2 linked regions of the Mytilus edulis genome follow. The protein of the gene in region 2 interacts with the protein of the main gene of each other region in a pairwise test. Links are inferred from orthologs where the notes say so. Each region holds a gene or a part of one and is shown on either strand. Other genes may lie near its edges.

Evidence for each region.
Region 1: the proteins of ATP-dependent RNA helicase me31b-like (region 2) and eukaryotic translation initiation factor 4E-like interact in binary tests that used the Drosophila melanogaster proteins (3 or more experiments, as listed by UniProt). The link is inferred for Mytilus edulis from reciprocal best matches to the Drosophila melanogaster genes me31B and eIF4E1.

Annotation. Positions count from the first base shown.
Region 1 is NC_092352.1:11,377,173-11,393,382, forward strand, and holds the start of eukaryotic translation initiation factor 4E-like, read right to left. Parts: upstream 6,122-16,210; 5' UTR 6,041-6,121; coding exon 6,005-6,040; intron 5,183-6,004; coding exon 4,977-5,182; intron 3,571-4,976; coding exon 3,507-3,570; intron 1,849-3,506; coding exon 1,735-1,848; intron 1,055-1,734; coding exon 915-1,054; intron 404-914; coding exon 349-403; intron 1-348. UniProt on the Drosophila melanogaster protein: Recognizes and binds the 7-methylguanosine (m7G)-containing mRNA cap during an early step in the initiation of protein synthesis and facilitates ribosome binding by inducing the unwinding of the mRNAs secondary structures.
Region 2 is NC_092348.1:71,997,510-72,013,009, reverse strand, and holds the start of ATP-dependent RNA helicase me31b-like, read left to right. Parts: upstream 1-7,259; 5' UTR 7,260-7,501; exon of another isoform or gene 7,502-7,609; intron 7,610-10,291; 5' UTR 10,292-10,370; coding exon 10,371-10,453; intron 10,454-11,718; coding exon 11,719-11,779; intron 11,780-12,207; coding exon 12,208-12,442; intron 12,443-12,871; coding exon 12,872-13,015; intron 13,016-13,511; coding exon 13,512-13,606; intron 13,607-15,253; exon of another isoform or gene 15,254-15,480; intron 15,481-15,500. UniProt on the Drosophila melanogaster protein: ATP-dependent RNA helicase which is a core component of a variety of ribonucleoprotein complexes (RNPs) that play critical roles in translational repression and mRNA decapping during embryogenesis, oogenesis, neurogenesis and neurotransmission.

The sequences.
Region 1 (16,210 bases), on a different chromosome or scaffold from region 2:
GAGATAACTTATATTAAAGCTGTAATTTGGTTCACCTTTATGGTATTTGAATGCAGAATGAGGGGAGATAACTTTTATTAAAGCTGTAATTTGGTTCACCTTAATGGTATTTGAATGCAGAATGAGGGGAGATAACTTACATTAAGGCTGCAATTTGGTTCACCTTAATGGTATTTAAATGCAGAATGAGGGGAGATAACTTATATTAAAGTTGTAATTTGGTTAACATTAATGGTATTTAAATGCAGTATGAGGGGAGATAAACAAACCAAAATATGTAATTTTAGTTATTGATAGCATTCATGGGCAAAAGACAAATATGTCATATATATCAATGATATAGTTTACCTGAAATCCTATTACTAATTTGTTTGGTATTCGTAGTCTCTCTTTTAATTTTCTTCTGCAAAAAAAGATTAATGTGTAAATCTAACAAATAGCAATTACACCCATGATCATAATGTGAATAGCTTAACAATTATGTTTGTAGAGAAAATTATTCTAAAAACTGTAAACATAAAAAGACTATTACAATTGCCCCTAAGAGATAGATTAGAAATCCCTGGTTATGGTTTCTTGGTGGTCAACTGAATAAAAATCCCTGGTAGTGGTTTCTGAGTATGCAATCAATTAAAAGGTCCCTTGTAATGATTTCAAAGTGTCAAATCCATTAAAAATCCCTGGTAGAGGTTTCTTAGTGTGCAATCAATTAAAAAGTCCCTTGTAATGATTTCAAAGTGTCAAACTATTAAAAATTTCTGGTAGTGGTTTCAGTTTTTAATCCACTGCTATCAAGTGATCAAAAGTTTATGCGATATCATCACTCTATTGTATAATGACATGTGCTATGATTAATAAATATCAAAATTGGATCATTCATCACAAATTTATAGCACTGCTATGTGTATATGTACCCTATTTTCATGGTAGCATCCTGTCTCCTACTATCCCTCGTCCATAAACTCAATTTGTCTCCTTTATTCCTAATATTAATAACAGCACCATTAACATCTTCACTAAAATCTTCAAAGGCTTCACCAATCAAACATAATAACTGAAATAAGAATTAAATATTAGATAGTCATTTCGATATGATTTAAGAATATATACCTGCAGTATCTTCTATTTTATTTCAATGGGTTTGTATCTATTTCCATTAAAAAATGTTCCAATGAAAGTGTCAGCTAGAAAGTAACAGTCGATCAAAAATTTACACGAAGGTCATCTAAACGTGACTCCTTCTGGATTGTCTTTAAATCTTCCCCACCAAGATACATGTATCTTATGAAGCATCGTAAAAAATGAAATTTATATCCTAACTTTAAATGATAAATGTTCAGTATTGTCCTTATATTTCAGATTTTTTCTAAAGTAAGATAAAAGTGGACAATACAATGACCGATGGCTGGCAAGCAACAGCAAAAGCTTGCACTTTTTGATAATTGTGTTAGAAAATTACAGATGCTGAGTTTATTCAAAACAATAAATAAAAAGTGAAACTGTCAGCTACTGCTCAATGATGATACCCAGGGGTATACTCAAGGAAAAGTGCTCCAATGTCCCAAACTTAAGGCCTTAACCACATATTTAATCTATCTAAAGGCAATGGTTGCAAGTCTTCAGATGCCCCAAATATCAAGTATAAGTATTTACCAAAAAACTTTTTGTTTAAGAAAATGAATGCAAATCTGTTTATTTCTGATACTTGACCAGTCCATGTATTAAAATACTTACTGTTTCCAACCAAAAATTATCTAAATCTGTTGATCGTTTATTTTTTTCTAAATTAATTAACCATCTTCCTCCATCTTTATTAACATCATCTTCCCACATTGGCTGAACACCATCCTTAAATGAATAGGACAAATGTTTACTTGTAAATTCAGGATAATCAAAATAACCCCATCAATGGCAAACAGACCTTTAACAATACAGCCTAATTCAAATTCGAATCATCCTTGTGACTGTGGGGACCACATATTAATGCATTTCAGAAATATTTGTACATGTGATATGTCTAAATAGTGGCATCTAATAATTGTAGAAATGGCTGTTTCTAAGATTTCTAAGAATCATGCAAAAGGAGACCATTCTCAGTCGGAAACCAGGTTGAAATAGAACAAAAGAATTGAAGCTCTTTGTTAGAGAAGGCGATAAATGCTTACTGTAATGTTTACTATAGTGACAAAAATTTTAAAAGTTAATAGAAACAAACAAAATTACAATTTTCTTCTCAATTATGAAGTGTTTTATTTTGAAAACACCATTTGCATAAGTTTTCAATTTATTTAGTACATAGGTAAGCAGAACAATTAGATATCAAGTCGACGACATGGGTATCTTTCAAGTTGGATGTAGAAAATGCATAAAAAAAAATTACCACGGACGGAAAACATATCAATCTATTAGTTCAGTAATTTTCGTGTCTGCCCTTCCATTATGTGACTCAAGAAAAAATTTCAAAAAATGGGTAACAATTGCATCAAAAAGAGAAAATCGAGTGCACCTTTTTATGTTCGGGCGTGTTTGAGTTGAATATTTTGTCTTGATATCGTACAAAGTAAGAATATTTCATACATCGTCTCGCTTCAGATTCTATCATTTTTATATATCAAAGCTACAGGTCGACTTTATAACATAAAAAAATCACAGTACTAAAAGATTAAATATATGGGTCAAGTGAAATACCTATCTAATGAATCACAAAAACAGAGTAGGTGTGTTCGAATAGCTATTTTTTACTGAAAGTACTTGACGACAGTCTTTCAAGTTGGATGATGAAAATGCATATCTTCGAAAAATTATAATTTTTTGTGTGTGAAAACTAGGGTTTATAGTCTTCAATCACTAAACAAATCTAGTCTGCCCTTCCAGGAAATATTTAATTCAAATTTTTTTTAATGTTTATGAATTTTCGAAAATTCCACCTGACAACCGATCAGACAATAGATCGTTAACTAATGCTCATTAGCTAGTTGATACATTTGTCTTTAAAAATACAACTGACATATAAGGATCGTAATGGTGCAATGTGGATAAATTTGTCGGTTGCCAAGAGCAAAATTGGCAGCGTGTCATCCCTACAATGGCTTCCATTTCTACGAATGTGAAAATGAACTGGCGTAATGGGGAGATAATTTTGACGAAGTAGAGTCCTGACTGTTCTATTGAATAATAAAAAGCTTTTTTTCAGTACTGGCACCAACATTTTGTTTACTAGATTTAGACATTGTGGTTGTGACTTGAGTCTCAGATTACTCTCCGTATCATACAGACTTATTTTTTTGCTCGAAGTAGTCCATTTCCCGAATATATGTATGTTTTATATTGAAAAAAATTCTAATGTAAGTATGTAGATCTTTAAATATGACAGACTATGTTATCTGATCAGGTACGCACATACTATCATCATATAACAGGTTGGTAGATGTTATAACATATAGAGTTAAATTATACATGTAATAAAAGCTAACAAGAAAATAATTTCTTTTTCCTTCAATATTTACCTTAAATAATGAGTAATCACAGCCTGAGGGTAATTTGCTTGCTTTCTGTACATGGTTATATAATCTAAAATTATCAACATTGTACATGTTAAAATCAGAATAAATTATCTGTGTTTACAAAACACATTGTCCAAGTGAAATGTAAATGTATTACAATCTTCAACTTGAAATTGAATGTCTTTTAATATAACCAAACAACATTACGGGTTAAGTTTGACTTCAAACTTGAGCTTCAAACTCAGAAACATGATTATATTGTTATTCTACTAATTGTTCTTTTTCTCTATTTACCAAGAGGCAAGGGTGGTAGGGAATGTAAATAAGCATCCAAATAATAATACAGATATCCTTGACATCATGGGTATGACATGACGTTAATTTTCTATTTTTCTGGGTGTGTCTAGCAAAGTTTGAAATTTTAATAAATAAATATAACATATTAAAACAAGCATTTCCCTATAATAGCCTTCTGTCATTAAACATGTTAAAATAGCTCCAATATCAGTATTTTACAATAATTCATATTTGGACATTATTGATTGCAAGATTTCCTCATCATTGTGCAATAAACAAAATAATTGTTTATAGGTTAGTGGGCTAGAAGACATGTCACACTAAATGGTATAATCCATCAAATGTTGACAACCCAGTCACAACACAACCATTTCTGACAGATAAATTCTATTTTAATACCTACTATATACCTTTACTCTCAGTTTTCATGCTTAACCATCACAAAAATAACTTGTGACTTGCATTTTAATTAAAATACTAACTGCTTTAATATTTATTTTATTTACAGTGCATTCATGTGTTCATTTTACTTCACAATAAATTTTACTTTTAATGCAATTCTAATATAAAACTTATTTGACATTAATGAAAAAAACATGCACTTTCAAATACAAATTTTTCGTTTTGTTTTGTTGACTATAGAGATGCAGCTTTAACAATTTAAAGACTGTGTATGCTAATAAGATTTTAATATTCTAAAATTGATATTAAAATAATTTTCCTAACTAAAACAATAATTACAATTCACAAAATATTTACCTGTATGTATTTATTTACATCTTAATAGAATATAGCAATAGCTCACAAATAGCTTGATACCAATTTTAAGAAGCTTTGATTTGAAAAATGGGACATGGCCATTCATTGATAAGCGAGTGGTTCACCAGAAGTTTATGGATGGAAAAACAGACAGGCAGACATAAGTAAATGTGTATAAACCCCCACCTATGGAGTATGGTATAATTATAAAATCACTTTTATGCACAGCCTTATCTTAATAACTGTACTTTTTTTTTCTTTTCTAAATATGGAATTTCCATTTAAATTTATTTTTTTAAATTACGCAATAAACAATTAGAACTAATACTCTGCTCTATAAACTTTTAAATTCTATTTTCACTTCTACTAGAAATTAAGTTTTAAATTAAAATTTTAACTAATAAATATATAATTTACCCCCAGAAATCTTCTACAGTATCAAATGCCGTAACCAATTTTAGATTCGCTGTCCATTCTTTCGTTCTGTCATTTTTGAAAAACCACAAGGCCCATTTGTTTTGAAGTGGATGTTTGATTAAGAGTTCTGGTGATAAAGATTCATCTTCTTCGCCTTCAACTTCTTCTACTTCATCAACTTGTTCTTCTGTGTCATTCCGTAACTCCTGAAATATAAATGTAAATAGTATCTTATTGTTCAGAATGAATACCATGTCCATTTGAAATTTGGCCAGTAATGAACTAAAAATAAATCTCCCAAGAAGGTTGAAGACCTCAATTCCATGTCAGAATTTTGTAATCACAGTCACTTGTCATCTGTAACTTTCCATTTCATAACAATAAATTTTCATTTAAAAGTAAAGAAATACAGTCATGGAGAGTTTTTCATTTATGGAGAAATGAATTAAAGCAATGTCTAACAAAATCAGCAGATTTATTTCTTTTGTCAATATTTACAAAATAGCTCTACATTGTGTACCTTCAAATTAAAAAAAAAAAAAAAGTCTCTATTTCAATTCAAGACAAGAAATAAATAATTCAATTGAAATTTTATATTTTGTTCTGTACCTACAAATGCATATGTATCCAACAAAATAATAAATGCATACATAATTCATTATTTGTAAGTGAAAATAACTTTATCTTACTGTAACTTTCAAGTAATCCATGAATGCAATTTTATACAACTTATAAAAGAGAAACACATATGAAATAAGTACTTTTCGCAAATAATACTAAAATCTGACAAAGAAAAGTCTTTTATTCTGTATGAATATAAGGTCTTTTTAGGGTTTAAGAGCTTTTTAAATAAGACCTTTCAAAAATGATATAAAAAATGTATAACTATAAATCATAATCTCAAAAAGAAAATATGTATGAAAAAGCTATAAAATCTTAATAGACATACATTAGACTGGCTGTCAAAATTCCTTGGTGTTAAATAAGTCTATTCCCCAAAATACCTCTTTAAAACATTTTCCTCTTACCCGTATTTTTGAGCCAAGACTCAGGTGGTATAGCATATTATAATCCTGTGTAAGACAGTTATATACTGAACATCAGATGTACCAGCATACCAACCACTGTGACCTGACAAGAATATCCCTTCTGGGCATGACAATCATTTCTAGACATGTGAATGAAAAACTTACCGTAGGTTGTCCTACTTCCTAACCAAATTTGTTTTTTTGAACTACATCAATCTATCAAGACCTAAATCTTTAGATTCTTCTACAATTTAAACATTAACAAAACAATAAAATTGCACATGTGATTATAATTTTTTCACCATAAAAGATTTGAACCAGATGCTCCACAGGGCGCAGTTTTATACAACCGCAGAGGTTGAACCCTGAACGGTTGGGGCAAGTATGGACACAACATTCAAGCTGGATTCAGCTCTAAATTTGGATTGTGATTAAATAGTTGACAGAGCATAGGTTTCGGACACAGAATGAATGTGGTCTAATGAACTTTAAATTTTTTTGCCTTTGAGCAATTCACTATGCTGTTGAATAAGTCCTCTCAAAAAAATGTTTGAAGAAATTTTCTTTTTATTTATGAAATCTGAAATGAGAAAAATGTACCCCCCCCCCCCCCCCCCCCATTTTTTTTCACATCCCCCTTTCCCCTTTCCCTTTTTCCAAAACTGATCTCAATTCAAATTTCTAAGATTGTTTTAATTTATCAGTTGGTAGTAAAAGTGAATATACATTGTATATTGTATAAAACAATGATTTAAGTTGATTCAACTACTATTCTGAACAAAGAAAGATAACTCCAATCAATTGAAAATTTCTTGCTATTGCACAATATTGTGCAATTAGATATTTCTTGCTATTGTGCAATACTGTGCAATTGAAAATATTTGCTATTGCACAATATTGTGCAATTGAAGATTTCTTGCTATTGTGTAATACTGAGCAATTTTTGTTGAAATCAAACAAAGTTTAATTTCGGACCCCGATTAGAACCAACTTGAAAACTGGGCCCATAATCAAACCAGGTGCTCCACAGGGCACAGCTTTGTACGACCCCAGTGGTTGAACCCTGAACAGTTGGGGCAAATTTGGTCATAATATTCAAGCTTGATTCTGTCTGAATTTGGATTGTGATCAAATTTTGACATAATATAGGTTTTTGTCACAAAATTAATGTAGTCAAAGATGTAACAAATCTATTGCACAATACTGTGCAATTGGAGATTTCTTCTTGAAACTTTTTTAAATTTGAAATTTGAAAAATTTTGAAAACTAGAGGCTCTAAAGAGCCTGTGTCGCTCACCTTGGTATATGTGAATATTAAACAAAGGAAGCAGATGGATTCATGACAAAATTGTGTTTTGATGATGGTGATGTGTTTGTAAATCTTACTTTACTAAACAGTCTTGCTGCTTACAATTATCTCTATCTATAATGAATTGGCCCAGTAATATCAGTGGAAATGTTTATAAAAATTTACAAATTTTATGAAAATTGTTAAAAATTGACTATAAAGGAAAATAACTCCTTAGGGGGTCAATTGACCATTTCGGTCATGTTGACTTATTTGTAAATCTTACTTTGCTGAACATTATTGCTGTTTACAGTTTATCTTTATCTATAATAATATTCAAGATAATAACCAAAAACAGCAAAATTACCTATTCACGGGCAGCAACCCAACAACGGGTTGTCAGATTCATCTGAAAATTGTAGAGCAGATAGATATTGATCTGCTTAACAATTTAACCCCATGTCAGATTTGCTCTAAATGCTTTGGTTTTTGAGTTATAAGCCAAAAACTGCATTTTACCCCTATGTTCTATTTTTAGCCCATGGCCATCTTGGTTGGTTGAACGGGTCACGCCACACATTTTTAAAACTAGATACCCCAAAGATGATTGTTGCCAAGTTTGGATTAATTTGTCCCAGTAGTTTCAGAGGAGAAGATTTTTGTAAAAGATAACTAAGATTTACGAAAAATTGTTAAAAATTGAAAATAAAGGGCAATAACTCCTAAAGGGGTCAACTGACCATTTCGGTCATGTTGACTTATTTGTAAATCTTACTTTGCTGAACATTATTGCTGTTTACAGTTTATCTCTATCTATAACTAGAGGCTCTAAAGAGCCTGTGTCGCTCACCTTGGTCTTTGTGAATATTAAACAATGGACACAGATGGATACATGACAAAATTGTGTTTTGGTGATGGTGATGTGTTTGTAGATCTTACTTTACTAAACATTCTTGCTGCTTACAATTATCTCTATCTATAACAGTACTTTCTGTGGAAAATGTTATTGAAAATCTTCAAATTTTAACAAAATTGTTAAAAATTGACTATGAAGGGCAATAACTCGTTAGGGGGTCAATTGACTATTTTGGTCATAGTGACTTATTTTTAGTTCTTACTTTGCTGTACATTATTGCTGTTAACAGTTTATCTCTATCTACAATAATATTCAAGATAACAAAAAAAACAGCAAAATTTCCTCAAAATTACCAATTCAGGGGCAGATAGATTGTGACCTGATCAACAATTTTACTTCCTGTCAGATTTGCTCTTAATGCTTTGGTTTTTGAGTTATAAGCCAAAAACTGCATTTTACCCCCATGTTCTATTTTTAGCCATGGCGGCCATCTTGGTTTGTTGGCCGAGTTACTGGACACATTTTTTTAACTAGATACCCCAATTATGGCTAAGTTTGGTTAAATTTGGCCCAGTAGTTTCAGAGGAGAAGCTTTTTCTAAAAGATTACTAAGATTTACGAAAAATGGTTAAAAATTGACTATAAAGGGCAATAACTCCTAAAGTAGTCAACTGACCATTTTGGTCATGTTGACTTATTTGTAGATCTTACTTTGCTGAACATTATTGCTGTTTACAGTTTATCTCTATCTATAATAATATTCAAGATAATAACCAAAAACAGCCAAATTTCCTTAAAATTACCATTTCAGGGGCAGTAACCCAACAACAGAATGTCCGATTCATCTGAAAATTTCAGGGCAGATAGATCTTGACCTGGTAAACAATTTTACCCTGTCAGATTTGCTCTAAATGCTTTGGTTTTTGAGTTATAAGCCAAAAACTGCATTTTACCCCTATGTTCTATTTTTAGCCATGGCGGCCATCTTGGTTGGTTGGCCGGGTCACGCCACACATTTTTTAAACTACATACCCCAATGATGATTGTGGCCAAGTTTGGATTAATTTGTCCCAGTAGTTTCAGAGGAGAAGATTTTTGTAAAAGATACAAAAGATTTACGAAAAATGGTTAAAAATGGACTAAAAAGGGCAATAACTCCTAAAGGGGTCAACTGACCATTTCGGTCATGTTGACTTATTTGTAAATCTTACTTTGCTGAACATTATTGCTGTTTACAGTTTATCTCTATCTATAATAATATTCAAGATAATAACCAAAAACAGCAAAATTTCCTTAAAATTATCAATTCAGGGGCAGCAACCCAACAACGGGTTGTACGATTCATCTGAAAATTTCAGGGCAGATAGATCTTGACCTGCTAAACAATTTTACCCCATGTCAGATTTGCTCTAAATGCTTTGGTTTTTGAGTTACAAGCCAAAAAATGCATTTTACCCCTATGTTCTATTTTTAGCCATGGCGGCCATCTTGGTTGGTTGGCCGGGTCACGCCACACATTTTTTTAACTACATACCCCAATGATGATTGAGGCCAAGTTTGGTTTAATTTGGCCCAGTAGTTTCAGAGGAGAAGATTTTTGTAAAAGTTAACGACGACGGACGACGGACGCAAAGTGATGGGAAAAGCTCACTTGGCCCTTCGGGCCAGGTGAGCTAATAATATTCAAAATAATAACCAAAAACAGCAAAATTTCCTTAAAATTACCAATTCAGGGGCAGCAACCCAACAACGGGTTGTCCGATTCATCTGAAAATTTCAGGGCAGATAGATCTTGACCTGATAAACAATTATACCCCATATCAGATTTGCTCTAAATGCTTTGGTTTTTGAGTTATAAGCCAAAAACTGCATTTTACCCCTATGTTCTATTTTTAGCCGTGGCGGCCATCTTGGTTGGTTGACCGGGTCACGCCACACATTTTTTAAACTAGATACCCCAATGATGATTGTGGCCAAGTTTGGTTTAATTTGGCCCAGTAGTTTCAGAGGAGAAGATTTTTGTAAAAGCTAACGACGACGGACGACGACGACGGACGCCGGACGACGACGCCGGACGCCAAGTGATGGGAAAAGCTCACTTGGCCCTTTGGGCCAGGTGAGCTAAAAAAGGAAGACCTTTAAAAAATGGTAAACCAAAAAATCCCCCCCCCCCAAACTTTTTGAAACCACCTTGGAGCAATAATCCCATGCTTTCCATTACAGTATTGAACCTTGTAGTACAATTTCAGAGAGATCCATACACTTAAACACGAGTTATTGTCATGATTGTTTGGAAACTAGAAACATGCCTCTTTTTGGCCCTTTTTTGGCCCATAATTCCTACATATTTTGGGCAATTAACCCAAAACTTCATCCCAGCCTCCCCTTTGTTATATGGTACATTTTGGTACAATTTCAGAGAGATCCATACAATTACACATAAGTTATTGTCTTGAAACTAGAAAAATGCTGGTTTTGACCCCTTTGTGGCCCTTAATTCCTAAACTTTGGCCCCATAACCCCTAAAATGAATCCAAACCTTCTAATTATGGTTTTAAACATTGCAGTATGATTTCAGAGCAAATGAAATACTTCTACACAAGTTGTTATCCTGAAAGTAGAAAAATGCTTGTTTTGGGCCCCTTTTGGTCCCTAATTCCTAATCGGTTGGGACCATCATCCCCAAAATCAATCTGAACCTTCCTTTTGTGGTATTGAACCTTCTGAAAAAATTTCATGAAGATCTATTAAATAAAACTAAAGTTATTATCTGGAAACCAATGTGTCTTCGGACTATGACGTCGCAGACGACAACATCATACCATTATACGATCCCAAAATTTTTTTGGGGTTGTATAAAAACTAAGTACATGTTTAGATTCAGCATACATGTATAAAAAAAAACCAAAGAATTCAATTTTTGTTAAAATTAAACACCTTAATGTAGACCAATTTGAAAACGGGACCAAAAATTAAGAATCTAAGTACATAAGATTCGGCATATCAAAGAACCCCCAAAGTTCAATTTTTTATGAAATCAAACAAAGTTTAATTTTTAAACCCTTTTGCCCCTAATTCTCAACTGTTGGAACCAAAACTCCCAAAATCAATCCCAATCTTCCTTTTGTGGTCATAAACCTTGTGTTTAAATTTCATAGATTTCTATTTTCTTATACTAGTCATTGTGCGAAAACCAAAAAAATGCTTATTTGTGCCCTTTTTTAGCCCCTATTTCCTAAGCTGTTGGTACCAAAACTCCTAAAATCAATCCCCACCTTCCTTGTGGCAATAAACCTTGTGTTAAAATTTCATAGATTTCTCAGGGCTCACACTACTTCAGAATTATAGGGAGAAGTGACTTCTCTTTTTGAAACTGATAGGGAGAAGTGGTGAGATTTGAAAGAGAAGTGCTCATTCGTGCGGTGCGCTACAATGTTTGGATTTTACAATAGTATAAAGGGCCATATATATGTAAATAATGTTCTTTTTATATTGTTCAATTCATATCCGAGTAAAAAAAATACAATTAAAGTAACATTTGAAATTAAAAGTTGTTTAAGTTTTACTAAGGTTCTTGTGAGAAACTTATTCCAACTAAATATCTAGCACTAAAAAAAAAATTATTTTAAAAAATGTAAAGAAATTATAATATATAATTATTACAATTTAATTAAAAATTATCTTGTGTATGAAATTCAGTGTTTCTCATAAAAAAAAATATAAAAGTTATATTCAGCTGGGCCATAATATATTGAAATTAGTATAATAGTATCAGAGTTAAGCAACTTTAATCAATAGTTTGAAACAATCCAAAAAATATAGGGAATTATATACAAGAATCAATTAGATGTAACCAAAAGTCTCTTAATGTGTGTGGAATGCGTAATTTTTCCCTTTGGGATCAATATTCTTCTGTCAGCTGTTCCGTCCGTCCGTCCGTAGTAATTATCGTAAAAGTACGGATTTCGGTCATAGCTGGTCCGGTTCAGATCCGTAGTTTAGAAATCGGTCAATGGCGGACGAATGCAAGAAAATTTACAAAAATAAACGATGTTTGACAAGTTATTTGAAAAGGAACATGACGTTTTTAATGCAATAAATGGATTAAACATTTACTGGAGGCAACTTTTATCACGTTTAAATGAAGTAACAAACTTATTTTGCCGCCGAAATTTAGGTTGATGTACGTTTTCGAGTAACAAGCACCGGAACTTGCGAAAATGCATGAAGTGATAAAAAGTTGTATTTTTATCAAATAACCTGCTACACACTGCGAAGACAATGCTTCAACTTCTTTTCTAAAGATAATGAATCGTTTATGTCTGAATTTCTTTAATTATCAATAAAAAATTGATGTTTCATCAACTTGGTAAAAATTGAAAATGTCCGATGACGGAAGCGACTGAAAGCGAGTATCGTCAAGAACAGGGCGACTTGATTTCGCTTTTGGGGGTCGGGGAAAGCGAAGTGACGGTCGGGAAGGCGACTTCTTCGCCCAAGTCGCCTGGTAGCGTGAGCCCTGTTTCTATTTACTTATACTAGAGTTATTGGGCGAAAACCAAAAAAAATGCTTATTGGACCCTTTAATGGCCCCTAATTCTTAAATTGTTGGGACCAAAACTTCCAAAATCAATCCCAACCTTCCTTTTGTTGTCATTAACCTTGTGTTTAAATTTCATAGATTTCTATTAACTTATAGTAAAGTTATAGTGCGAAAGCCAAATGTCTTCGGACGACAACGCCATCATCATACCAATATATGACCACAAAAATTTTGGGGTCACGGTCGTATAATATTTTGTCACAAAAAACAGTCACATTATTGTGTTGGTGTTTAAAACAACTTTTAGCTAAATTTTGTTTGTAACTTACAAAATGTACCTTTGAATGCTTTCAAAACCCATTTCGACTGTAACCCCTTACCTACCGAATGAACATCAATTTTTTTTTAATCATTCTATTAAGTGGAAGCCTAACTCTCACCAAGGAGGTTTTAGCCTTATTTGGTATGATTTAATTGTTTCCAACAGACTTATTACATCTTATTATATCTACATGTATATAGAACTAGACGTTATATAATAACAGTTGTGACCCCTGGAGTTTTTTTTAAAGTTTTTTTAGCCCTGAATTGAGCAAGTGCTAGTAGAAGTTTTTGTTTCATGCAGCAAATCATCTTGCACCCTTTTATCAAATAGATCATTCATGATTCATGTGAACTTGTTGACTCATTAGTAGATTGCACATCCACAATATGCACAGGTTAAAACCTAGTAAAATCCCATCTCCCACATTTATTGATTGATGATGTTCAAGGACATTAGCTTTTGAAAAATGATGAGCATGCTTGAATACAAGAAATGAGAGGAGTCATTGTAAGACTCAAAGAACATGTTATGTTGCTATTACCAGTATTAGCCTATATACAATGTATGTACATGTATGTTTTGCTTTAATGTCAAACCAGCAAATCCTCCGGCCCAAGTCAATCCAACATATATACAAGAGTGCACACGCTGAAATGTCTCGCCTTCTATACTAATCATTGATATTATGTTGATAGTCCTAAGTATAAAGCTAAGCTTTATAACAACTGTACCATAAACTTAACATTAACCAAGATAACTAAACAAAGACCAATGAACCTTGAAAATGAGGTCAAGGTCAGATAAACAATGCCAGGCAGACATGTACAGCTACATTTTGTAACAATGCTTCTATACAACATATATAGTTGACCTATTACTTATAGTTTAAGAAAAATAGACCAAAACACAAAAACTTAATACTGTGCAATGAACCGTGAAAATGAGGTCACGGTCAAATAAAACCTGTGCCACTGACATAAAGATCATAAAATATTTCCATACACCAAATATAGTTGACCTATGACATATACATGTAGTATTAGATAAAAAGACCAAAACTCAAAAACTTAACTTTGACCACTGAACCATGAAAATGAGGTCAAGGTCACATGACATCTGCTCGCTAGACATGTACACCTTACAATCATTCCATACAACAAATATAGTAGACCTATTGCATATAGTATGAGAACAACAGACCAAAACACAAAAATTTAACTATAACCACTGAACCATGAAAATGAGGTCAAGGTCAGATGACACCTGCCACTTGGACATGTACACCTTACAGTCCTTCCATACACCAAATATACTAGCCCTATTGCTTATAGTATCTGAGATATGGACTTGACCACCAAAACTTAACCTTGTTCACTGATCCATGAAATGAGGTCGAGGTCAAGTGAAAACTGTCTGACAGACATGAGGACCTTGCAAGGTACGCACATATCAAATATAGTTATCCTATTACTTATAATAAGAGAGAATTCAACATTAGAAAAAATTTGAACTTTTTTTTCAAGTGGTCACTGAACCATGAAAATGAGGTCAAGGACATTGGACATGTGACTGACGGAAACTTCGTAACATGAGGCATCTATATACAAAGTATGAAGCATCCAGGTCTTCCACCTTCTAAAATATAAAGCTTTTAAGAAGTTAGCTAACGCCGCCGCCGGATCACTATCCCTATGTCGAGCTTTCTGCAACAAAAGTTGCAGGCTCGACAAAAATCAGTCCAGCTTCCAGCCCAAATTTTTTTTTTAACAAGGAATAACGTACATTTGTATTTGACTTGTAGTTCATACATACTAATGCATTTTATGTACAATATTAGCAAAGTGTGATTGTGTCTTTGACACATATTCAAAACTTTAATTTTCTGTTCTATACCCACCCCCAATCAATTTCTCAAATGACTTAAAGATCTGAAGTGAAGTCTTTTAATTGGTGTAATAACGGATACATGTAGTTACACCAGAGTATCTGGCTACACACGTGCCAGTACATATGTACATACTGATTTCAAAGCTAATGAATGGAAACTTTGGTTTGATTGCTGAAATTTCATCAATTATTTGCCGAATTTACTTAATTTTTTCATGTGCAAATTCCACTTATCATGAATCATGTCACAAAAACCTCCAATCATTATACATGTAGTTATTGATGGTCCCTCAGTCTATATCGCTCTTCTTAGTTACATATCACAACTTCATATACGTTCACCCAGCCCTCATAACTTTGGCTCAGACATATCACCAACATCATAATACATGAACAGACATTTATAAGTATGACCTTAACTTATCAAGTTATCTTCTGGTTTGCTGGTGAAAAAAGAAAACACTAGTTTCTATCATGTAAAATACCAAAATATAACCTGATAAATCAATTATCTGGTGGTCTGCAAATTTATATTGCAAAATATTAGCTTCATGACACAATATGAAGTAATTTTGAGCTTGTTCACTACACTCACTTGACCTACATGTATAACTCATATTGTGACTCAGTTGAACCCGTTCGCTCTTTATAGATCAGTCCATTTAAAGATAGGTGTTTTGGGATAAACTCATCAATGAAGTGTCCAGTTATGGTCATTGATCCAGTTCAAACATGTAAACCTTATATGTGTATTGGCAAAATAATTAATGAGACACAGTCGTTGATTTTCTTGTACATGCATGTAATGCAGAGTTTTAAAACTTGGTATAATTGTCACATTTTGGAATTTGTTGATATATTAAAGTATAACTACATGTATACCAACAGCAGTTACAAAATCTGCCTATAAAATTTTGGTGACACTGATTGGTGATAAGAAATCAGTAATAATTATAATGGCAATCATCCTTATCACACACATCTTCAAATATATTGTCCTCATGCAAATTGAAACATAAGCTCCATCCAATCAGTTCAAAACACATTGTTTATACCACCACTGACAAGAAGAAATGAAAAGACAGCTGGAGATACATAACATCCCAAAAGATCTCCAGACACTACCAACACCAACAAATAAAGAGACATACGAGATAACAGCGAAAATGAAAGGAGAATATTTAAAGTCGAGTTCAGGGCGATACGTCATTTCTGGAATCATGTCCATCATTGGAAAAGATCATCAATTTCGCACGCCTTTAAGACTCATTTTCCAGATAGAAGGCGAGCCTGTATCAATGCTTTAT
Region 2 (15,500 bases):
TCACTTACTAAAATGATGTAGCTTTTTTAGTGTTAATTTGGTATTTCGCAAAGTATAGATACAGAAACATTTACAATTATGAATCTGAAACTATACAGATGAAAAAAACTCGGTAATGCCCATATCTTTTGCTATTTAACTTAAATTTTACTTAAATTTTCTTTAGTTATGCCACACCAAAATAAACATGAATCATGACAAAAATATCACTTTTTCTTGGCAGTATGAACAATTGTATCTCACCTCTTTGACTCGTAGTTTTAGAACAACATCATTCTGTCTACTGTCTATAGGTTTCTTGGTTGTGGCCATATTTATCAGTGTTTATCTGCAAATGTACAGAAAATGAAAACAATATGTCAGAATAAAATGGGAAATGCATCATGTATATCAATGAGTCAGCTATGTGACAAAATACACATATTAAATGCACTACATTGCCAGTGGCGGATCCAGAACTTTTCCTAAGGGGGGGCCCGCTGACTGACCTAAGGGGGGGCCCGCTCCAGTCATGCTTCAATGATTCCCTATATAATCAACCAAATTTTTCCCACGAAAGGGGGGGGCCTGGGCCCAGCCCCCCCCCCCTGGATCCGCCTATGATTGCTGATACTGCTTGCATTGCCTTATGTTAACAATTACAACCCTCTAATCCTATTCAATGTACAAAGGGGAAAACAATCCCAAATGTAAATAAGTTTAAATATAGAGACAATATTTCATTGAATTCAAACTCATATGTCGAAAATAAACAGACAGACGTGCATGTAACACCATGACCAAACAAGAGGCACTCATTTGTTTGATGGGTTTTATCTTTTGATTTTGCCATTTGATTAGGGACTTTCCGTTTTGAATTTTCCTCAGAGTTTAGTATTTTTGTGATTTTACTTTTGTTAACTTATGGACTTGTAGGAGTCAATATTTGCAATTCTTTAATTTAGGTTAAAAACATGTATTTCTTGATTAAAACTAATTGGACTTATTCATTGTTATTGAAGTCATAAATTGTCTTAAATTAAATGGAGACAAATCTTTGAATCTACAAATTAAGACCTCTATGAGTCAAAAGCAGATTTAGACTTATTTATGTCTGAGCTCTGACTGTTTATATATAACTTTATTTTAATGAACTGTTGGATATTTGTTAGTCTGCAAAACTATACAGTTACAGTCTTTTGATGAGGTAAATATGTGGTTTTATTGACTTTTGAATAACTGATATACACTGAGGCAATGGAGGCCGAAGTGAATATCAGTTTTTTAAGTCAATTTAACCACATATTTACCGAAACCAAGGAATTGTATATTCCTTGCCGAAACAAAAGACAGTAATTGTTTTATTCCATATTCTGAGAGAAATGTATACATGTAATGGAATGTAATTACCAAAACCAATTGTACATCAAAGGATTTTTACCAAAATTATACATGTAAAAGTATGCGACATTTTGTGTGGTGAATAAACTTTTTCCTTCGGTGAATATGCTTATTTATTCAAAATCTGATTCATATATAGAAAACCCTATTAAAGTTATATCAATATGGAATAATCTAAGTTATTCTATAAAAAATCACTTATTGTCTGCCAGTAAAACACACAAAAATTTGAAAATGAATAGGTGAACTATAGGTGAAAACCGTAAAATCATTGAAAAATTATGTAAAGCAGTGATTTTTGTTTCCATGATAATCAAAAGTGTTTATTCTGAAAACATAAACTAAAACTCTATGCTAAATCAAAATGAATTGAAAATGTGAAATGTATGCGATCTTTCTTAATGCGACTTCTAAATACTAAATAAATTTAAAGTGTGTGTCTTACAAAACAATAACATTACAATAATAAATAGTCTAGGACATCAAATTGTGATCAAAATATTTCGTCCCAAACACAGAGGTTAGTAAAGTGTTGATTCTATCAAGTAGTTTGGCAACTTTGTACAATTCGAGTTGACCTTTCATTTTTATCTCACCTTGCCCGAAGGACCAAGTGGGCTTTTCTCATCACTTTGCGTCCGTCGTCCGTCGTCGTCATCGTCTTTTAACTTTTACAAAAATCTTCTCCTATGAAACAACTGGGTCAAATTTAACCAAACTTGGCCACAATCATCGTTTAAAAAATGTGTCCGGTGACCCGGCCAACCAACCAAGATGGCCGCCATGGTTAAAATAGAACATAGGGGTAAAATGTAGATTTTGGCTGATATCTCTGTATTTAGAGCAAATCTGACATGGGGTAAAATAGTTTATCAGGTCAAGATCTATATGCCCTGAAATTTTCAGATGAATCGGAGAACCTGTTGTTGGGTTGCTGCCACTAAATGGGTAATTTTAAGAAAATTTTGCAGTTTTTGGTTATTATTTTGAATATTATTATAGATAAAGATAAACTGTAAACATCATAATGTTCAGCAAAGTAAGATCTACAAATAAGTCAACATGACCAACATGGTCAGTTGACCCCTTAAGGAGTTATTGTCCTTTATAGTCAATTTTACAAATTTTTCGTAAATTTTTGTAATCTTCTACAAAAATCTTCTCCTCTGAAACTACTGGGCCAAAACTTAGCCACAATCATTATTAGAGTATGTAGTTCAAAAAATATGTGCGGTAACCCGGCCAACCAACCAAGATAGCCGCCATGGCTAAAATTAGAACATAGGGGTAAAATGTAGATTATGGCTTATAACTTTGAAACCAAAGCATTTAAAGCAAATCTGACAAGCATTTAAATTGTTCTATCTGCCCTGAAATTTTCAGATGAATTGGACAACTGGTTGTTGGGTTGCGGTCCCCCAATTGGTAATTTTTAAAGAAATTTTGCAATTTTTGGTTATTATCTTAAATACTGTTATAGATAGAGATAAACTGTAAACAGCAATAATGTTAAGCAAAGTAAGATCTACAAATAAGTCAACATGACCAAAATGGTCAGTTGACCCCTTAAGGAGTTATTGCCCTTTATAGTCCATTTTTAACAATTTTCATTAATTTGGTAAATTTTTGTAAATTTTTACAAAATATGTTCAACTGTAACGAAAGGGCCAAGTTTATTATAGATAGAGAAAATTGTAAGTAGCAAGAATTTCAGTACATAAGGATCTACAAACACATCACCATCACCAAAACACAATTTTGTCATGAATCCATCTGTGTAATTTGTTTAATATGCACATAGACCAAGGTGAGCGACACAGGCTCTTAAGAGCCTCTAGTTTGAATCTCAAAAAGTGGCGGGGTTTATTTCAAAATGCAAATAAAATCCGTATAGGTAAACTATACGATTGATAATAAGAGAATTGAGGATTTTAATACAAATTTATTTTAAAGAACGTTATCCACCGATTCCTTCTGCTTTGTACGGGCCGGCTAAACTCCATCGTCTACTTTCAAAGAATTCATTAAGTAACATTTCAGAGAATATTAGCGATTTCAATTTGAGTTCAACGAGTCTCGTTGATCCCTGATTTTAGGGACATTTGGTCAACTGGCATCAGATAACATTCTTTTGATGAATGCTGCACCTGAATCGAAACACTACGTCTAGAACAAATACGCTGGGGGTGATACTACATTTATTCGACCAAACATCTTTTATTATCTTTTGAAATTGAAGTTGATGTTTTTTTATAATGAAAGATATAAAAGATGTAAATAGAGGAGAGTGTTTAAGATGCGACGAATTTATTAAAAAAAGCAAAACAAGAACGTGATGATGAGCGTGATCCAAACAAAATTGTATATATTCTAATGTACTTGACGATGAAAAATATCCAAAAAGTGAAAATGTACGTCACACTAAAACTTAGAAACATGTTAACGAACTAAAATTAAAAAAACCAAACATAAATGACTTACAAAGGCCAGAGGATCCTGACTTGGGACAGGCGCATAAATGCGGCGGGGAGAAATATGTTATGACCATAATGTGATATCTCAACCCCCCTCTAAACCTCTAGCCAATGAAAATAAACAAACACACAGCAATACGCACAGTAAAAGTTCTTAAAACTCAGTTTAAAAGAAGTCCGAGTCCGATGTCAGAATGGGTAACCGTTAAAAAGAAATTAATAATTCATATGTTTCCAGATAGATTTTTTTTATAAACAAAACAAATAAGAGGGACTTCAGTATTATCAAAATTGCAAATAATTTGTTCGTTAACAGAATAGTTTTTTTAAAATGTCGTTAATACTTACAAAATCAAAAACCTTTATTGACATATTTGTTTTTAATCAAATGTTTTTTTTTGTTATCTTCAGAGCGAATTTTGAGAAACAGCTTAGAATAGTAATATGCAATTAAAATTTGAACGATTTCATACTTAGTTCAGTGTATGTTCACTTGTTTTTGTTAATATGTCTTTTTATGAGGGGGGATAGGAGGGGTCCTGATCCCGAAATCCAGGGCTTGAAAACACGAAATCCCGAGGTCCCGAATTTAAATAAAGTAAATCCCGACGTCCCGAAATCCAAAAAAAAATAAAAAAATTCCCGAATCCCGAAATCCCGAGCTTAAAAACACCTGATCCCGGAGTCCCCCCTCATTTATTGAGTTAAGCCATTCCAATTAATGTTTTATAGTGTATCTTTCTATGTTGTAATGTTACACTAATGTTTCAGGTAAGGGTTACGGTTGCTACCTATTTTAAAACGGTTAAACATGCTGCATATGTTTGCATCTGTATTAAGTCAGGGACCTGATGTTCGGTGGTTGTAAATTGAGTATGCGGTTCTTAAAGTGTTTCTCGTTTCTCATTTTGTATACATAGATTATGCCGTTGGTTTTCCTGTTTACTAACGATTGGTTTTAAAATAGTCAATTTTGGGGCCCTTTATATGTTGCTGTTCGGTGTTTGCTAAGCCGTCCCCGTGATGAAAAGCGTACTATATTGATTGATTGGTTAAATATTTCTCAGTCATGTCCTGTGTTTGAATTTGTTTATTAGCTTTTTGGTCATGAATGTTTGTCTCTAATATTTAATTAACTGTGCATTTGTATTCAGATATCGCAGATCAAATTTATTCGTTCATTGTTTAATCATACGTTTTTTGATTGAATTAAGTCTCCCAATTGATATTTTATCGTATGTTTTTCTTTGTTGTGATGTTATGCTATTGTTTCAGAAAAAGGGAGAAGGTTTGGATCCATTAAAACGTTTAATCCCGCTGCAAATGTTTGCACCTGTCCTAAGTCAGGAAGTAGTTGTCGTTTGTTTATGTAATATATACGTATTTCTCGTTTCTCGTTTTGTTTATATAGATTAGACCGTTGGGTTTCCCGTTTGAATGGTTTTACACTAATAATTTTGGGGCCCTTTATAGCTTGTTGTTCGGTGTGAGCCAAGGCGCCGTGTTGAAGTCCGTACTTTAACCTATAATGGTTTACTTTTTAAATTGTTATTTGTATGGAGAGTTGTCTCATTGGCACTCACACCACATCTTCCTATATCTATGACCTATAATGATTTACTTTAACAAATTGTAAATTCGATGGAGAGTTGTTGCATTGGCACTTACACCACATCTCATCATATCTAATTAGGTCTGCAATATGGAATATGCCAGTGTTGGAAATCAAATTTGATGTGATTTATTAACAGGCAAAGAACCGAAAGCTTTGTTAACAGATTATGTCTACTGTTGTTTTGTTTAAATAGTAATAAATGTCCGAAATATTTGTATTGTTCCTACGACTGAAATTTCTTTGATTGCAATTTATTTAACTCCCATAAGAACGGTTTTTACGATCAGTTTTAGAAACTATATTGTATCCAAAATGTTATTTATAGAATCGGTTCTTGATATGTTATCAATTCTCTTGATATTATCAATAAGACCGAGAGGAATGGCTGTCTGTATTTTTATGCCCCACCTATGATAGAAGAGGGGCATTATGTCTTCTGGTCTGTGGGTCCGTCCGTTCGTCCATTGTACAGTCCTTCCGTCAGTTCGTCCAATCTAATTAAAATATTGATCTCTGACTACGTTATACCTCATATGGATAGTTGTTAGATCTCATATGTAGTATAACGTAATCAGAGATTAATATTTTAATTAGATTGTCCGTTCGTCCGTCTGTCCCGCTTCAGGTTAAAGTTTTTGGTCAAGGTGGTTTTTGATGAAGCTGAAGTCCAATATCAACTTAAAACTTAGTACACATGTTGCTTATGATATGATCGTTCTAATTTTAAAGCCAAACTATACTTTTGACCCAAATTTCACGGTTCAGACCACTGAACATAGAAAATGAAAGTGCGAGTTTCAAGTTAAAGTTTTTGGTCAAGATAGTTTTTGATGAAGCTGAAGTCCAATCAACTTGAAATTTAGTACACATGTTCCCTATGGTATGATCTTTCTAATTTTAATGCCAAAATTAAATTAGACTTTTACCCAATTTCACGGTCCATTGAACATGGAAAATGATAGTGTGAGTAGGGTATCCATGTAAGTAAGTAAGTAAAACTTTATTTGGATTCGGCATATTGACAAACAATACAAACATATAAAGCTCAAATGAGCTTTTCACCGAATATAAACATATGCAATAACAAATAAAACAAGGCATGCAGTATCATGCAATAAATAATAAAAAGCAGCACCAAAAATTAACTCTAAGCAAATAGCATATCCATGTATCTTGCAAAATACCAGAACATATATATGAAGCACCAATTTTTTTTTAAATTTGCAGTTAAAAATATTTTTTTTTTTAATTTATGATTTATAAAGTAAAAATTTCAAATCTTTCAAATTTTAAAATGTATAAAACAAAATTTCAGTTGCAATGCAAGCTGTTAATGCAGCATAAAAAGCATAAATATTGTAACAGAAATTATCTACAGGCAGACTCGCAAAAACATTCCGTTCCACTCCAGGACTGCCGGAACAAGACTCTTAAAATGTGAGAAGCAGTCCTGAAATGGTCTGGTAAGCTATTCCACAAAGAAGCAGCAGCAAAACTAAAAGATTTTTTTCCACCTGAGATAGTTCTAACCTGTGGTATTTCCAAAATATTACTGTATCTAAAAGAATAGTTTAGTTTAATTTGGAGTAAATTTTGTAAACATACAGGAGCCAAATTATTTAAAATTTTAATACAATTTAATTCAACTATTTCGTACAGACTTTTTGATTCCCCATGCTGCTTTTTAAGTACTGTTTTAATTAGATGTTAAAACTTATTTGTCTAAAAATGTGTTCCCTGTTGTTGACTACATGTACCATTAATCCACCCTTTAGCAGAAGATGACAACCGGAAGTTTATTTGTTTTGCAGATTTCTTGGGTCAAAGTTCAAATATAGTTTCAAAAATTTCCTTAGCACTAAGATAAAACCTATTTTCTAATTTAGTTTGAATTGAGTATCTTAAATTAGTTTTATTTAAACAAATTTAAATCTGAAACTAAAGCAAAACAGCGATATAAGTCCCATTTGTTCAAATGGAAACAAAACAACAACGCCACCTATCGCTCAATCGGCCATTTTGAATGTTATTGGTAAGTTTGGTGGTCAAGATATAAATCCCCAGCCATCGGACTTATAGATAAACAAAGAACTCTCAAATTTTACAATCATTGAGTTGAAACATTTAATTACCTGAGAAAGTATTTATTTTACATTGAAAGATATGTTCCGTTGTAATTTAAGTAATAATTCATCCACTCTATAACGAAACAGCTGATTTTTTTTTTATAATTATTACCAAATATTTATTGCAAAGCCAACAACCTACGCGGATTTTACAAAAGTATATAGAGTTTTCATTATGTATTAAGTACGACTGTTAATTCAAGATATGAAAATTGTGCTGGAATTCATTAGAAAATATACGAACTCCCGAGACCGGTATAAATAACCGATTTCAATAAGACGCCAAAAAGAAATACCTTTCTGTAACCCGCATCAGGTTCCAGTAAGACACTCACCGTCTGCCAGTTATAAACAATGACAACCATAAATGAGGATGTTGAATTTGGATTATCTTTTTTTAATTTAACTCTAACTATAGTCTTTCAAAGAAATTTTGACCCCCCCCCACCCCCCCCCCCCCCCTTTCTCAACATCTATGTAGTTTTGAACTCGTCAAATTGTTGATGATGATGGAAGAAGGTCACACATTAGCTTATTTCGTCATAAACGCACAGTAACCAAAATAAAATCATTCTTGTAATTGTTTTATCCTCCTAACATGCCTAAAGGGATAGAAAAGAATAAAATTGATAGGTTCAAGAGTTTATTTATAACTGAAATACCGTGATTTACCATATTTTGCCAATTTCCATTTAATAAATTACATCATCAGCAAAAAAATTGTTTTATTCAGGCCAAATTTATATCAGAATGATATCATTGGCAATGTATTTGTTTTAAATTTAGTCCAAATAATTATGTCTGGCAAGGCTATTTTATTTTTTTCTGGGACACCTTCCTACAAAGTAACGCTGAAGCCATTTTTACGTCTGGACTTAGAGTGCAAATATTTTTGGAACTTTGAGACCTAATTTTGACATTTTCATTGCAGACTAGAAATTTTCACGTAGTTACAAAGTCCTACCTCTTTGTGCTTATTGACACAAAGTTTTCCTGAAATATTTAAAAGAAATGATAAAATGAGATATACTTCCATTTCAGTGTTCCAGCTAGGCCGTTTTCAGAGGGCGCTGCGCCCGCCCCAGTCTGCACGGTTAGCCACTAGTCCGATGCCCCAGACTAGTAAAATTTCATTCGGACTAGTAAGTTTTTGCAAAACTTTGTTTGGCCCAATAAGAAAAATGTCAGAATATTGGTCTTCGGACTAGTAGTTGAAAAAGTTTTTGGTGCAGACTGCCGCCCTTTTCCGAGTGGCGCCCTGTGCCCTTTTTACAGTTTCCAGGGCGCCCTGCCTTTTTTGAAGATTGATTGCATATTAATTTGCGTATTGATATGATACGCTAATTACTAAATTTTACCTGGGGAAAAGATTATGACTTTGTTTACCACCCCAAGCTAATCAATGGTTACAACTGGTGTCATAATCTGTTGTTATAGGTAATCCGTTTATCGGATGGGTCATTAATGATCATCAACATTAATTCGTTCAAATAGAATCGGTCAGTCGGCAATTATCTTTGAAGAAATGTGCATACAACAACTTGGGCATAATTTGCGATGTTTACCGTAGTTTCATGGAAGAAACGTAATGACAGAAAGTTGGAAAACCATTATAAACTCGTTGAAGACATTGTTTTACTTGTTTTCTGTAAAATAAACAGAAAATTCAGACGTATTTGTCATTGACTGCCTTCATTTTTGATACGAAAATAATAAAATCGGCCGCCATATTGTGATCATATTTACATCATATTTACGTACTGTTTATAATCCTCCAAAGAAGGAGCACACCCGAATAAAGAAAGATAACTCAATCTGATTTTTTTCCTAGCATTGAGTAACCCATTTACATATTCTAAAATGTGTCTCCATACTTCTTGCTTAAGAATATATATGTTTAGGTATTTATTTTGAGTTATGGGAAAAGTTAAAGAGGGTCTTAGTAGCAGTGTTGGTAGGGTGCCTTGGTCATCTTTTTCTGTATTCTTTATTTTTGATACTATTTTTCACTGTTGCTTTATATCCTAAAATTGTGAATTTACTGAGCACAGCTGTTTTGTGCTGTATTGCCATCAAGCACAGCAGGGGTAGAAAGGTGAAACTGGTAAAATGTGGTAGACCATAGAAACAGTATGAAACAGATCTCCTTTCAAAACATACTGCATATAAAGTTCAACTGTGCCAAGCAATGATAAAAAAACTTGTGTGACAAGCTGCTTGACAAGTTTTTCAGCCTTAAAAGTAGAAAGATAGAGTTCTATATGGGCTAAAGATGTTGTTCTTGTATAACCTGTGATTCAACGAATAAACACAAATGTTTGATTAACATCTTTTATTAAAATATGCCCTTTCATATTATCATATCGCGCATTAAATGCCCTTTTTCAGGATTGGCACCCTGCCCTTTTGAAAACCTAGCTGGAACACTGCATTTGTTATTTTGAGGTGGGCAAATATTTATTTTGTTTTTCAATTAATTTTCCAGAATCTAAAGAAACTCCACTTCCAGTGAAAATAAAATAGAATATTAAACTCGGTCAAATCTGATGGACCCAAATTTCCAGAATGTTGGATTTACATTATCCCGCAATTCGGGTCACCAATGTTTCATATATCAAAGTGGGGTTACTACTGGGAAAAAAATCTTTCAATCTTTTAAATGCAATTTACATAGGTTTTATTTTGTGTATTTTCAGATTCAGATATCGCTGATGAGTTTCACATAAGTGAATATTTCGCTGCGTAAATAAATAAAAAGGAGTTTTGGATACATAAATGATGGCTTCAGCCAGAATGGAACAAAATATGAACCACGCTGGACCTCCACCCATGGATGGGAAAGGGAATCCTGGCACAGGGTATGGTCAATTTATGAACAACCAACAGAGAAAAGTGAAAATCAAACAATTTAAGATAATCAATGATCATGCATGAGTGAGAAATTAGTTGTAAACAGCAATAAGACAGCAATTCTAATGAAAGTAATCACAAAGCATTCTTTAATAAGCAACCACAATGAATTGCATATATTTTGAGATCACATATATTGATTACATACAAGAACTATTTTTAGCTAAAACTAAATCTTAGAAAACATGGTAAATATCTTGCTCAAAGATTTTGACAGCTACACATTTGTAAAAGATATGAAAATAAGACTTGTATGATTGTCAATGAGACATTCAACTAGAGACCAAATGATATAAATGATTTTAAGTAACCGTACAGCTTTCAGCAATGAGCAAAAACCCATTCCACATAGCTTTAAAAGACCCTGAAATGACGCATATAAAACAATTCAAACAAGAAAACTGATGACCTGATTTATGTACAAAACAATGAATGAAAAACTAAAGGATATTCTTCAACAAGTCATTGAATCACTTAGTACTGAATGTTAAAGGTTACACAAGTTTTTTTTTATGCCAAACCTGATCACCCTAACCTGGGACAGTGGCATTACAGTACAACATTAGAACTAACTATGAAAATAGTTCTAAAGGGTTAACTCATTAGATTGATACAAAGCAAAAAGACATACCCAACTTGGCAGAGTATAAATACGTTCCCACAACAAAAAACAACATGTTAAGTACACATCTGAGAGTAGTTGAAGTTACTTAAAGCTATTTCAAAGCAAGGCTTTCCAAAGAAGGCGGTAGACGGCAGATTTCCACAGTTTACAGTCGCTTCAAGTGCAAGCTACTTCACTGATAAAAATATAAATTCAAAAAGAAAAAATATCTTTTTCAATTGTTTTGTTCTTTTTCAATTATTTTGTTTTATTTGTGCCAGAGCTTCTGGGGGCCTTCAGCGGCCCCCCAGACCCCCTGCCATTTTGCCCCAAGCTGTTAAGCTTGGGCGTTTCGACTTCGCCGAATGCATGTTACAGCCACCTGCCACCTATAATTGTAATTTAGCCTACTACTTCAATTTCAAGGGAAAGTCCTGTCAAAGCCTATACGACTTATTAAAGGATTTCCTTTTTCATTAATTTTACATTTTTTGTTTGGAAAAAATTATGACCAGACATGTCAGATGAACTAAATTTCTTCAAAATGAGAAAAGAATTGTATTCAGATTTTCTTTAATGTTAAGTGAGTTATCTGCTATTGTCTTTCAGTGACCAGGGTTGGAAGTCCAAATTAAAGCTTCCTCCAAAGGATAACAGAATCAAGACGACTGTAAGTATAGTAATTAGGAAAAAATATTTACATTAGGTAAATTACAAAGGTTACCAACCTGTACAGCAACCTGATTTATAGAGTTCTTTAGACACTTACAAGTTATGTTGAAGGATTTTCCTTAGAGTTCACTACATAATATTATATATGATGTACATAATATTTTATGAACATGAAGTAGTTGTATACTTTACCTATTTGATAAACAAGACGATGAGAGAGATGTACATTGTACATGTCTAAGAATCTTTGATGATTTTGATTTTCTAAACTGATATATTGAATCTATGCATTTTGTCATTTGGACATTTATTCTGAATATTTTTTATTCCATTCAATGAAGTAACATGCACATTTGTAGCCTATTTAGTGTATATTTAAGCCTTTCAGTTTCAAAAGCAATGATGTGCAATTTCTCTGCTTTTTAGGATGTTACCAATACAAAAGGGAATGAATTTGAAGATTTTTGTCTGAAGAGAGAGCTTTTGATGGGGATTTTTGAAAAAGGATGGGAATCACCATCACCTATACAGGAAGCTAGTATTCCTATAGCACTTACAGGGCGAGACATCTTAGCTAGAGCCAAAAATGGTACTGGAAAAACTGGTGCTTATACTATACCAATATTAGAGAAATGTGACCCTTCAAGGGATGAAGTTCAAGGTAAAGATAAACTAATCTACTATTTTGTAAAGCTGTAATCTATAACAGGTTAAATGTCATTTGCAAAAAATGTTGATGTATAGGTTGACATGTTGACTTTATTCCATAAGACTGCAATCACAACCTACCAAGTACCAATACACAGAGATCAACATCAGACATTTTGTCTATACAATATGTCAAGTCTTAATTCACTGTTTTATGGTCATAGAAATATCAGGCTAAATTAATATTTGTAGCCTCTGGTATTTGTACATGTAACTTACAAGCTTAGTCTACAAATTAAGCAAACAAAAGAATGACACCATTAAAACAGTCCAAACTTACAAGCTTAATCTACAAATTAAGCAAACAAAAGAATGACACCATTAAAACGGTTCATAAATTATTATTTTTTAAATTGACGAAATTTTTGTTCATTTTTTACAGCTATGATAATTGTACCTACTAGAGAACTTGCCTTACAGACTAGTCAGATTTGTATAGAAATTAGTAAACATTTAGGTATCAAATGTATGGTGACTACTGGAGGAACCAATTTAAAAGACGATATCATGAGATTATATGAACCAGGTAAATATTATATACACTGAATGATGATGGTTGATACAAGTTTAGTCAGCATAGGTGGGTAATGTTATGAAGGGAGATAATTTCTCAAATTATAGAATTGTTTTAATTGAATATCAACTTATGTTTGAAATAAAAATTGTAATTAAAAAATAAGTTAAGTAAATAACACACTTCAATCAATTTTAAGTCCAGTATTGTTGACTTCATGACAGAGCAGACAGACTATACTTATTTTGGAGAACAATAATCTCAGTTGTTAAAACTTCAGGCATATTTCTAAAGTGATTATGGTTAGGTTTAATTTTCCAGTATTAAAATATTGTCTTTTGAGTTGAAATAGCTACCAGATAATTTTACATTTAGAATCAATATTTATATTTGAATTTTAAGTTTAAATTCAAAAACATTGTCATTATAGTAAACTACAACATATACTACAGTTAATATTAGATGTTTCTGTTAATAGCCGGATTAAATATTGTCTAATTTATTTCAGTTCATGCCATTATTGCAACACCTGGTAGAATTTTAGATCTGCTGAACAAAAACCTTGTCAAGATAGGAAAGTGTGGTATAATGGTGTTAGATGAGGTAGGTTGTTAAAGGTTACAGTGCAATTATAGTAATGTTTATGTAGTATTATAATGGAATAATATGCATTGTCCCTTTAGGGCTGTTCCAGAAAATACTATGTCCCCCCCCAGGGACGGCACTTTTTTTTTACCCCCACCACCCATAGAAATCAATTAAATTTTTAAACCACCACCAATAGAATTTAGATTATGTCAAGACCAACAACCTATGGAATCTTAAAAAAAATCATTGAAACCCACCACCCATAGATTTTTTTTTCTGTCAGTTTAGAAAAATATCGGAATGATGCTATTTTCCATAGATTATTAAAGGTTTTTCACAATGTTTTGGCTATCAGCATGAGAAAATGTGCAGTCCTAGTGGTCGGGTTGTCAGTTTCAGCACTTGGATGTGTTACGTGTCCCTTGTCTACACGCATTCATATTCATATTTCAACTTAAAATTCCAGAAATGTATCCAACCAAAATGAACCGAACCGCAACCCTTGTATAGAAAATCAAACCAAACTGTTAGGTAGGCGTATTGTTACAGCCCTAGCTAGCGACAAGTTACCAAAACAAATTCAACATGCATGCAGTAATTGACAATTGGCAAATCACCTTTGAGATCAGTTTTACAAATCACAATTCAGGGTAGGGCTAAACCATTTGTCACAACAGTCCTGTAGGCCTTGGCAGCGTATGTTTTGCTAGCCTTTCATCCATTTGTTCTTTGAATCCGTTTCAACAAAGTCAAAGATTTAATGAACCTAACAGATTAAACCACAAAGTATTGTTAGCTTTGTACCCCCAAAATTATCATGCAATTCAAGTTCTACATTTTCTGTAATTGGGGGAGACGGGATTTAACATTTCATATTTTGGAAACAGGGATTGCAGGTTTCTTTTTGGAATTCAGTTTTTTTTTTACCTCTCCCCCTCCCTTAGTTAAACGTCCAGATCAAAACATCGAACTATGCACTTTTCCTGGATCAAACATGAGGTTAGTCTTTGAAAAATATTTGTCTAGTATAAGGCTAACCTCTACAAATACTAGACCACTTATCTTTTCTGGTTTTACTTTTTTGTGGCATAGCCATCGTTAGTTGATCGATCGTTCCAAGTTAAAAAAAAAATAGGGGAAAACGCAATGTTTGTTCTGTTTTTTTACTTGTTTGCTTAGGTACTTTGTGTATCGTGTTTGTGTATATTACCTGCTAGGAATATGGGGAACTCCATCATCTGACGTTCCTGGGAGGTTGTCCATGTTGCTGTTTATACATACATGTCAACCTCTGACAATGGGAAATCATGTCATGACATAACATGATATGTCAAAAAGCGTGTGAAAACGCGTGACGTAGATGCGGACTTGTTAATATGAATGTGGTAATGTTCATAATTTCATACAAATTTGTGAATACAAAAAAACAATATATATTCTACTTTGAACTTTTATTGTATTAAACAGTGGTCTGTTATGTTGCTTTTAAAGCACCACCACTAGGCACATATTCAAAACAACTGCCAGTTTCAATTTTAGTTACATTTATTTGATAACAGCACACAATACAAATGTAATATAGTCAAGTTCGGATCAGAATTCAGTGTTAATTTCTTTATAATTGAAAAGGCTCTCTCACAGTAGGAATTGATATTGACTGAATTAGCTTCATCAAGATTTGAAAGAATGTCATAATGTTTTTTTTTTTTTGGCAATGTAAAATGTCATCTATAGATTATCTCTGCCATTGCTCCCATTGCTATTGCCTGGTTAAAACTGGGTAGTTCATCAGAAGAAAGCTGGTACTATCAGAGCTGATGCAACAGTTCTGTGGTATTTTTATCCCCATGGCCTGTAGAAATCTGTTGCCGTGTTGGCTAGATTTAAAACTGAAATTGAAAAAGAAAAA